Caenorhabditis elegans: one gene and its partner. The protein of the gene in region 2 purifies or fractionates together with the protein of the main gene of each other region. This does not show direct contact. Each region holds a gene or a part of one and is shown on either strand. Other genes may lie near its edges.

Region 1 (4,012 bases), on a different chromosome or scaffold from region 2:
TTCCGACGATGATAGTTTGTTTCATGGTAGGATTCTACTGACTACCGTTATAAAATATCAACTTTAATTTCAGTTTTCCATATTCAAATTCGCAAAATTCTCAATTGATTGGCACAATTACATGTATTCAATTCTACAAAATAAATACCAATTGACCGATGATCAAGTTTTTGGAAACGATAAAAAAACCAAAAAAGCCCAGTGAGTATTGGACACCGGCATTGTTCCCCGACGCGAAAAAAAACAGTCGGTACTCGGTCTCCACACGACAAATCTTTGTGAAACGAAGAATGACATACGCCTTTAAAGAGTACTGTAATTTATCCCATGAAAAATATTTTTTACGAAAACTGGAAAAATCACATCAAACTGTTGCAGCAACGAATTTGAAACTATAGTACTCTTCAAAGGCGCATAACCTTTCATATTTAACGAAAACTTGTCGTGCCGAGACCGGGCAACGTATTTTAGCCAAAACATTCGCGTCTGTACAATAAATCAAACTCGTATTGAACAATTTACATTTTCAGAATTGTGAGATGTGTTGGATTCCTAGAAGGTCTATGTGGAAAACTATCCGATTATAATCTGTGTGTAACAAATGCCATGCGTCGAGATCTCATGGATCGATGGGGCATCAGAGCCAGCACATTCTATGATAGGCCGCCGACGTGGAAATTTAGGTTTGAACAAATGTGAAATTTCTGAAAATTAATCTCGAAATTTTCAGAGACACAACAATACAAGAGATCCATGATTTGTATCTAAGACTTTCACAAAAGGAACGAATTCTACAAGGAAAAGACGAAGACTCCACAATTCTGACTCATAAATCTTCGAACGGAGTAGTGCAGCTACTAACAACTCGACCCATTGTGTTTCTCTCTTCCACATCCTGGACACCTGATGAACGGTTTGAAATTCTTCTCGATGCGCTGGTTGCATATGACAAAACAATCGGACTCCCGCGAGTTTTGATGATTATCACTGGAAAAGGTCCACTGAAAGCGAAATATTTACAAGAAATTCACGAGAAAAATCTGAAGAATGTCGATGTATTGACTCCATGGTTGGAAGCAGAAGATTATCCAAAGATTCTAGCCTCTGCTGACTTAGGAATCTCTTTGCACACAAGCACGTCTGGATTGGATCTTCCGATGAAAGTTGTTGATATGTTTGGAGCTAAAGTTCCAGCATTGGCTCTAAAATTCAAATGTATTGATGAGCTCGTTGAGGAGAAAACTAATGGATATCTTTTCGATGATTCTGAGCAGTTGAGTCGTCAAATTATTGAACTTTCTCGTGGATTCCCAAATAATTGCAATGAATTGATACGGCTCAAGAAGAATACACAGGAGCAAAAATTCGATTCTTGGGAAGTGATGTGGAAGAGATCAGCTACCTCTGGTGCAGACTTTCGAGTTCCAGACAATGGATTCGCCAAACTTCGTGCAATTATTCAATTCTCATTTTTCGCTATTTTATTGATCATGCCGATTCACTTATTTATGGGCACTTTTTCGGGGGCATTCAGATCGCTTTAATTTTTTTTCGGGGTTTTGTACATTCAATAAACTATTGGCCAAAATTGTTTATCAAAGTGAAATGTTAGAGACAAAAGTGGGACACGCGTTGAGAATCGGAATGAGATTTTACAGGAAGGATCGTTTTGAGCAGGAATGAGTTGGTTATGAGTGATCAGTTCATCAATGAATCTGCAATATTATAAATTATTCAGATAAACTTCAGATTTAAAGAATAGAACTAACCATCGACAGGAGTATCGTCAATAATGTCGTCATCCATTTCAGCATTGACAGAGCTGGATTCAACTGGATTTTTACGAGCGAGAGCCTTCTGCTGACTAATAACTTTCCATTTATCGTTGGCGGACTTGCACTGGAAATTTTAATTTCTTAACTCTTTCGAAACCCATAATTACATGATTGTGAATAGAAGTATTCTCAAGCTCTCGGAGTCCTTTGACAACATCATCTCCTGAGATCGTCTTGTGCTTCTGATCGCGAGCAGATTGAGCCGAAACGTCGGACAAGTTTATGAGAAACACTGCTGCAGCACGAGCGATGACGTCTCGAGCATCTTTTGATGCAGAAATATTGTCTTCTTTCATGAGCCGAGTCACAATTGCTGCTGGCATCATCATTTGAGCAATTCGATCATCGTTTTGATCCACATCGTTTGATGACATTTCTATCTTAAATTATTGCCTTGTTCAGTTTCGAGTATAAAAATGAAGCACAGATAATTAAGGGATTTAAAGCTATCCTTTTATTTTTACTTTTAGTGCGAGCACTTTTCGAGAACAAAAATATTATGAGTTCTCTTTTCTCTCAAAAACGGACAACGTAAGAAGATTTATGGGTGATGGAGGAAGATTCAAAGAAAATGAACAGTTTGAGCTAAATAAATAGAATGCGACGAAGGAAAATGTTTTTTGGGAGGAAAAGGAAGATTTAACAAGAGTGCACACTGAAGATCCTACGCCACCTAAGGTACACGTAGGATCAGGTCACAATTTAAAGATCATTGAATGTTTTTTAAGAACAGGATGGGATTTATCCAGACTTGAATAGCAGGATGGCGACCTGTCCAAGGTAGAAGTAGATAAAGTGCTTAGTCTCGTGGGTCACGTAGCTTCCAAAGTTTCTTCCGACGATGCAATGCCAGGTTGGGTTGTATTTCTTGTCGAACTCCTTCTTGATGTAAGCGGCAATATCCTTCTCGATGTTGTATCTGAAAAAAAAATGTTTTGATTTTATTTTTTAGACTTTCATCGCTTCGCTTTTTTCTTGCACAAGGATCAGATTTGTTCGATCAGCTGGTCGCTCCTGCTCGCCCCCTCCCCTAGACTCGGGCTGCCGTCCACTTTAGTTTAAATCAAGGGACCGATGAGCCGTTCCAAACAGCTAAACGACATTTCTTTACACTTTTTCTCTACTAAGCGACCAAGTGTTGTTCATGGCAATCGAATTATTCAAGCGTTTAAAATGCAATGAGAAAGCTCATAACTCACTTCTCGAGGGCCTGGGTGGCGCAGTCGATGGCGTCCTGTTGCATGTCATCGGACATGTCGGCATTCTTGATCACAGCCTTGCGGTCAACCATTTTGAACGGATTTGGCTGCAAAAAATACAAAATTAAATTAATTGAACACCGGGTACTCGGTAGTAGTTATAATAACGGTTGTGAATGCGGAATGCGGAGGTCAAAGAGATAGATAAGGATAATGGAAGAACGGCAAGGTAATTATTTGAGCGACCCAATTTATGACACGAAACAGGAGTATGTTAGTACGAATAAGGCTCTTCAGAGTATTAAAAATATAATTTGCAAAGCTCGGAGGCACTTGAGTACAGAGTATTTGCGCCCGCAACATGAAAAACTTTTGACGTGAATTGTTTAAATCTGAACAGTTTAGAAATAATGAAATAGATGAAAGAAGAAGAGTTCCCCAGTTATGTGTCATCGGGAACTTTTTTCAAAAGATATTTCATGTCAACAAACAGGCTACTTTTTCGATAAGAGTACACATCAGATTGTACGCATTTATCAGCAGCAGCATTCGTAAGACAACAGAGAAAAGATATCGAAAGTGGAGGAGAATGAAGTGAGCCAAAAGATAACAGTTTCAAAGAGTGGAGGAATGGGTGGCATTGGGAGACGAAAGAGAAGATGGCTGAGCGAAGCCGAGAGCGAGATAGGCGGGGCGCGTCGCACGCTGCACAGCCGCGTCGCACGCGACCCGGCTGTGTTGGAGTGTGCGACTCGGCTGTCGTCGGGGCAATGCGCGCGCACTCAAATGCAAACAGGCGCGTGCCCGCGTATTTCAAAATGTTTTGGGGTGTTGGTGGGAGCGAGAAGAAGGAGAAAAAAAAGAAAAAGTGAAGGGCGTTGGAAGAAACTGCGAGGTTGTTGTGTGAGACGAGCATGAATGTGTTTATAGACTCTAACTCCTGAATACAATAGACCGGAAAAAGGAAGAGGGTGAATA
Region 2 (6,527 bases):
CTTACGTGAAAAGCTCTAATGCAACGTCGGTGGCTAAAGATTGCTTTTTCCGTTACCACAAGAACAACTTCGTTGTAAACTTGTCAGATTTTCTGAACAGGGATCGCTGGGTTCAAGAACAGATACGAGTTGGAAAACATCATGAGAAACGTTCTGCATTTGCAAGATTGTTTTCTACACGACGGGACAACACTCGATAACCGTAAAATTTATTGCAGGTTCGGAGGAGTGTGACCTCCCGGAGCATTCTTTATAAGCCCACTCATTTCTACCAATCTACGAAGAGTTCATAAAAGCTTTATGGGAACTTGAAGAAATTGAAGAAGTGATGAATTGAAGAAAGAAAAAGTGACAAAATGCTTGAAGCATTATAGTTGTAACTTCAAAATTCTTATAAGAAACTGTAGCTTCCGTTTTTCTGATTGTATTTATCAAAACTTTAGTTGATACATAAACATATGTATAAATTGTAAGTGACTGAGATTTTCAACTGATGCCTACGTTTTTTTTAAATTAATTTAAGATTATAATTTTTAATTTAAGTCCGAAAGACCGTTATAATAATGTTTTAAAATTTGTTTCACCATTTCCAGTCATTTTTTAGTCTGTCATGATTGAAAATAATTGACATGCATTTCTAAAAATGATAATTGCAGAGAGGCTCTATCTCGGAAGTGTGAAAAATATTTAAAGGACCACAAAACTTCAAATATTTTTTTGTTTCCTCCAGAAAGTTCGACCTTTATATATTCTTATCAGCAAATATAAAAACATGTAATTTGAAAGTTTGCTCGTTTTTAAAATCAAATTTGAAAGGCTTTTTAAGAACCTGAAAAAATGTGAAAAATGACGTTATATGAAATGCATTATCGTGTGGAAAATTATATACTAATATGCATTTGTATAGGGTTTCTGAAAGTAAAAAAAGTTAATTGTTACTGATTACGTTGAAATAAAAATTTTGAAGATCCAATGACTAAAAAAAAGTTTAAAAGGATGATCGTTTTTAAGCATTAAGCTCTGCGGATTTGGGAGTTAACTTCCTAATGGTGCTCCCAGTGGGCTTCTTGGGCAAAATCAAAAATAAATACGCTATCAGGCCAATTGGGCATTAGACTTGTGCAGCTCAGTGCTGTTTTGTGCCAATCAGTGTCGCTTTTTGGGCGCACTGGCCCGCGCTAGAATGGTAGATTAAACTGTCCACAATCTCTCCAATTAAAATAATTTTTACAGCACTTGTTCACGACATAGTGTACGATAAGTTTTAAAGTTGATTTTTTCAGCTTATTTTTTCTTGTGATAACATTTTAATTAGTGAGTATTAAAAAACTTTCAAATAGCTTTCAATTTGAACAAATTCCAGACTGGTAGTAAGAAATCTGCTAGAAACTTTACTTTTTGGCTCCATTCTTGTAAAAATTCAACTCAACTTAAATTTGAAAATGTAATACAAAACATTTTTTTTGATGTCTTAAAACTGGGAGAAAAATTGTCAAAAAGAAGACTTCAATAACCGATTTAAACTGAACAATTTGGAATTGAACAAAATCTTTTTAGTATCAACCAGTAAAAAGTTACTACTCCATGATGCTTGCGCACTAGAATTTTTCAGTGTTCAACATTGCACGCTTGTTTCGCCTTTAGCATTCAGCTGATGGATCAAAATTTCAATAACTGCAAATTAAACTATTTTTTACAATTTTATGTTACCTAGCTACTTGAAAAAAACTTTTGATCGCAACCGAGATATTTTTTTGAAGAGAAAATACGAAAAATCTAATTGGGAATAACGAAAAGAGCTCAAATTATTTTTGTACCAAAAGTTTTTCAATTTTTTTGAAATTACATGTGATTGTTTTTGTATTTGAATTTTGTTAGGCTTAAAAAAATAATTTCTAAATCTTAGTTAAAATAGTATTGACATAATGGTTCACGTGCTGATCTGAATGAGAATTAATCCTACATATATAATGCAATAATAATGTATATGTTAAAAAATTAATAAGAACATCACACTGTCACTGTTTCTTAAATTATTGTTCAACATATTTATATTTTATTAGTTTGTTTAATCGGCAGGCGTATTTAAAGTTGAATAATCGAAAATAAATTATGAAATAACTATTTTTCGCAATATTAAAAACTATTGAGAAATATTAACTTTTTCGCACTTCTTGCCTTCGGTATTAAAATTTTATATATTGTTGTAAATATTCTGAAATGTATTTCATTTACAGTTGTCAATCATATCAAGTTGTATTGGAATAAGTACCTTGCAATAACTGCAAATTTAAAAGTTTCTCACATTTAATTCATGATGTTTGATGATTTATTTTCAATAAAATTGTCCTTTTTCCAGACTATCATGAAGTGCACAAATCACTGAGCTTTCTCATTAAAAACATCAGAACAATTATCCAGAGTTAATAGTCTCCCTCAATCACCTACATCACGTTTTTCAAAAGACTCCAGCCTGTTTAATAGCCTTCGGCGTTCTTTTAATCTGAAAAAATAGCGAGCGAGATGAGGAGGGCAGTGGTGGTAACCCAAGCCTCGAGTATTTTACAAGAATGAATCTTACTGACACCTGACGAAGCCTTCACAACAGTCTCTAGTAGCGGTGGCTACTATCATTTGGACTAGGTTGTCTCCTTGAAATTCTTCCTTGAAAACAGGATGACTAAATTATGTCTTTTACTTTTACCACTAGTTTTCCTAGTCTCTTATTCGTTTGCAGGTTTGTTGAAAAGAAATTTAAAAAGTGTTATTATTCATAAGAATGAACATTTCAGAAGAAGAAATAACCATTTCCATTAGCCCAAATGCAAACCCAGTTCAAAAACCAATTGGTCACCAGATTTCTCTTGTGTGCTCTATTAAGAAGACTGATAGTAATGGAGAAAAACCAGGAATGATCTGGAAGAAACATGGTGGACTAGACCGGTATTTCAAGATCCCTATTTTCCTATTAAATATAACCCAGCTAATGTTTTAGAACTGGAAACGTCGAGGTCAAAAAACTAGACGACTACACTCTCGGACTTATTATCAGAAATTCCAGTGTGGAGGACAGTGGTGTGTACTATTGTCAAGCTCAGGTTGGAAGTAAAGTATACATGAACAAGATGGATGTAATCGTTTTTGGTAGGTCTCAATGTTTGTCGAGATTTTGAAAAAATAATACACTTTTTGCAGAGGACATTGTCTTCCGAGACAAACAACTTCACTTTGGTCAAGTTCTAGCGACTGCTTCGGTTAATATTTCATGTGAGGTATCCGCCAAGAAAGACAGTGTCATAACTTACTGGACTCGTCACGGGAAGCAAATCCTGGAAGGTTTGTCTTGAGGAAATTTGTTAGTTGAAACAAGGTGTTTTCAGGTGGTAAGCACAAGTTCTACAGTAGAGGGTCTATTCTGGAAATTCAAAATTATCAACCAGAACAAGACGCAGGACAGTATACATGCGAGGTAAACGAAAAATATAGGATAAAAACTTGTAAATTATCTTAGAATGGGCTTAGATCTAGGAATGACAGCCACTGAGCAAAAAGATATAAAATTACCGTAGTCTAAGTCATCAAAAAGTGAGACAATGGCGGCAGCCATCAAGGGTAAAATTTATGAGTTGCGTCGACAAAAGGTGCTATTTAATTTTATGGTAATTGTAGGGAAATGTTCTTTTGTGTGTAGAGCTGGTAACCGACAGATAAATACAGATAAACCTTATCAGTAAACTGTGAAACTTTTATCAAAAGAGAAGTGATAGTTTTTTTTTGAGAAAAAAGGAAGGGATTTTTGACAAAATATCTCGGTATTTGGCGCTTAATTTCGGCAAAATAAATCTAGCCATAAAGTTGGCGAAGTTTGGTTTTTTTCTTGAATGCTACTTAACCAAGTTCAATATATTTGGGCAAAATTTTTGAAAATAATTTTTTCTATGAATATAAAGGGAATTGAAAGAAGCCTATTGAGGTGCTTCGAGTTTTTCAAAAAATTTATTAAAAAATTACGGTTATTTATGATCTTTGATAACTACCCAGTATAAAAGCAGCGTATACGTTGTAAAACATTAATATTAACAATGTCTTTGTTCGAAACTTGTCACAGAAACTGGCTAAGTATTGCAATTATTATTAAAATATTGTACATATTTTGTTTGTCACATAAATATTTTTATACAAAACAATTCTAATGTGATTTCAAAACACAATGGGATAACATTTTACCAAACGTAAGAGATAAACATTTTAATATGATAACATTTACTTTTTTGAACACTCTAGTTTGTTGAATATTTTTGATTTATTTTTTTTTGAGGTAAAGAACTTTTCAAAATTCTAATTGCAAAATTTAAAAGTAATTAAAAATTTAAAAAAAAAGAAAAAATTTTGTTAATTTTTTTAAGTTTTCTATTCCGTCATTATAGCTTATTTTATGTTATTTAACATTTTGAAAAGTTAAAAAAAAACTGTTTCTTTATTATAGGTGTTCCATGTAAGCAGCGGCTCATCAAACACAAAAACTGTGACTCTTGGAACCACAGGAGAGAAAAACTACGTGGCATGCCAGCAGATGTGTAACAGTTTTTGCACTGATGTTCACAACAAAGTATTTACCAACAACTAAATTTTGAAGTGTATTGATTTTTTTCTCATTTTATCATTTCAAACATTTGAGTCACTGGAATAACTTTGATTCTTTTCAATAAATTATTATAGCTAAAAACATTTTTCTGATCGTGTTCAACGCAACAATATGAAAAAAAAACACGCTAATAGAAAGAAATATTGAACAAATACGGCATTTCTCATGAATGTTTTTGTTTCCAGTAACAAAAGTTCCCTACAAGCTCACGAGTGCTTGGTTGAACGCAATTTTTTTCCCAGGACTGTATGCATAATATATATTCTCGTACGAATATTTTATGCTACAACAAACATAAAAGTTGGAAAAAAAATAATAAAATATTTCATTGGTCCAAAAAACAAGACGAGTATCATCATGACGAGGTTGGTGTTCACTCCCACATACATCTTTCACCACTGTCCGGATAGATACCTTCGGCTTTTTGCCGAAGGTAGTGATAGCATTTGGTGGCAGCCCATATGGCGCCTATACAAATTACGATTCCCAAATATATTGATATCACCATTAACATTTGATCTGAAATGTAAATGAGATTGCGGGAATATGTGGCAAAGAGATTCAGTTGGATACGATGTTATACATACAACTCCGAACAATTCTTTTATTATTTTTTTTTCAATTTTGCAAAAATTCAGATGAATGATGCAGTACTCCATTTTCCAACAAAATTAAATGGCCTTTCACAGTTTGAAAAAATGTAATTTAGGATAATACAAAAACTAATCACCGAGAAAAAACCAGTTCAATTCGCAACAAAAAAAAAACGGAAAAACTCAAAGTAGCGTAGGCTAATAAGCCATTTCATATGTTTTGCTGAAACAATTTGAATAAAACTCATAAAAATTGCACAAATGTTAATAACTATAAAACTGTACAACAATTAAAAAAATTATTTTAATTTTGAATCGTTTTATTTAAGACGTTACAGTAGATAAATCAGTTAAGCTTGTAAAAAGCTGGAAACAATAACTCTGCTAACTTGAGAAAATCGAATCAATTGAAAAAATTTTTAAAGTGACCATTACCACCCGTTTTATGCTATTTAAAGCAAATTTCTATGAACGACCTTTCAAATTTCAAAAATCACGAAAAAAAACCGGAGAAGAAAAGAAACTCGATGCAAAATCAATAACTGGGAGGAACCTGATTTTTATTTTCCGGTTTCAACGGGTTCATTTTGGTTTTTTTTAACATCTATTTTATGCTGATTTTTCATTGTTTTGACTGTTATTATTAAATAAGCTGTCGTTAAATTCCAATTCAATACTTCATCTTGTCATTCGAAATTATTTAGAAACATGGGCTATGAATTTCATTTTTAAATAACAATCCGACTTTTCAGTTAATCCTCATTCCCAATATTTCCAAAAAAAATTCTGAAATCATACCAAATTTTTGATAAAATTTCTGCCTTCGAAACACAATTGTATAGTAGAGAACATAATTGGCAAGAATGAAGAAACAGACGCATTGCGTTATCTTAAAAACAGCAATTAGTCTTCAGAAATGTCAAGAAATCGCAGAGAAAACTCACTTCAGAAACTATAAATGGTACAAGTAATGAAGCCTTGTCATAATAAAGACCAAACATCATGAGAATGGCCACAACCTGCAAAAATCGAATATTGAAAACAATTTGTTGTTTGAAAAGAGAAAATACATACTGGTGAACTTATATTTATTGCACTCAAAAAAATTGCAATTTAAAAATAGTGGTTGCAATATAATTGTCATAAATTAAGTTAAAAATTCATAAATAAAAATTCGAAAACATACCGTATTCGCAACAATCAGAAAAATATCTAGCCATAAGTTGACAGTGTAAACACCGAAAAACATGCATATTGTAGAAAATAAACATACTACAAGTGCCGAAATC

The links.
Region 1: the proteins of zig-6 (region 2) and pole-3 fractionate together in Caenorhabditis elegans (co-fractionation; one large-scale study listed by BioGRID). This does not show direct contact.

The regions. Positions count from the first base shown.
Region 1 is NC_003281.10:6,460,639-6,464,650, forward strand, and holds pole-3 (DNA polymerase epsilon subunit 3), read right to left. Parts: upstream 2,219-4,012; 5' UTR 2,210-2,218; coding exon 1,943-2,209; intron 1,900-1,942; coding exon 1,770-1,899; intron 1,716-1,769; coding exon 1,699-1,715; 3' UTR 1,578-1,698; downstream 1-1,577. Other genes in the region: algn-1 (Chitobiosyldiphosphodolichol beta-mannosyltransferase), read left to right, coding at 1-26, 74-201, 531-683, 731-1,544; dlc-1 (Dynein light chain 1, cytoplasmic), read right to left, coding at 2,577-2,754, 3,035-3,126.
Region 2 is NC_003284.9:5,185,115-5,191,641, reverse strand, and holds zig-6 (Zwei Ig domain protein zig-6), read left to right. Parts: upstream 1-2,564; 5' UTR 2,565-2,676; coding exon 2,677-2,737; intron 2,738-2,792; coding exon 2,793-2,943; intron 2,944-2,995; coding exon 2,996-3,144; intron 3,145-3,195; coding exon 3,196-3,336; intron 3,337-3,380; coding exon 3,381-3,469; intron 3,470-4,486; coding exon 4,487-4,627; 3' UTR 4,628-4,726; downstream 4,727-6,527. Other genes in the region: T03G11.9 (MARVEL domain-containing protein), read right to left, coding at 5,019-5,164, 6,037-6,127, 6,183-6,257, 6,425-6,527. UniProt on the Caenorhabditis elegans protein: Probably not involved in maintaining the position of ASI and ASH head neuron cell bodies and ventral nerve cord axons of PVQ, PVP, RMEV, AVK and HSN neurons.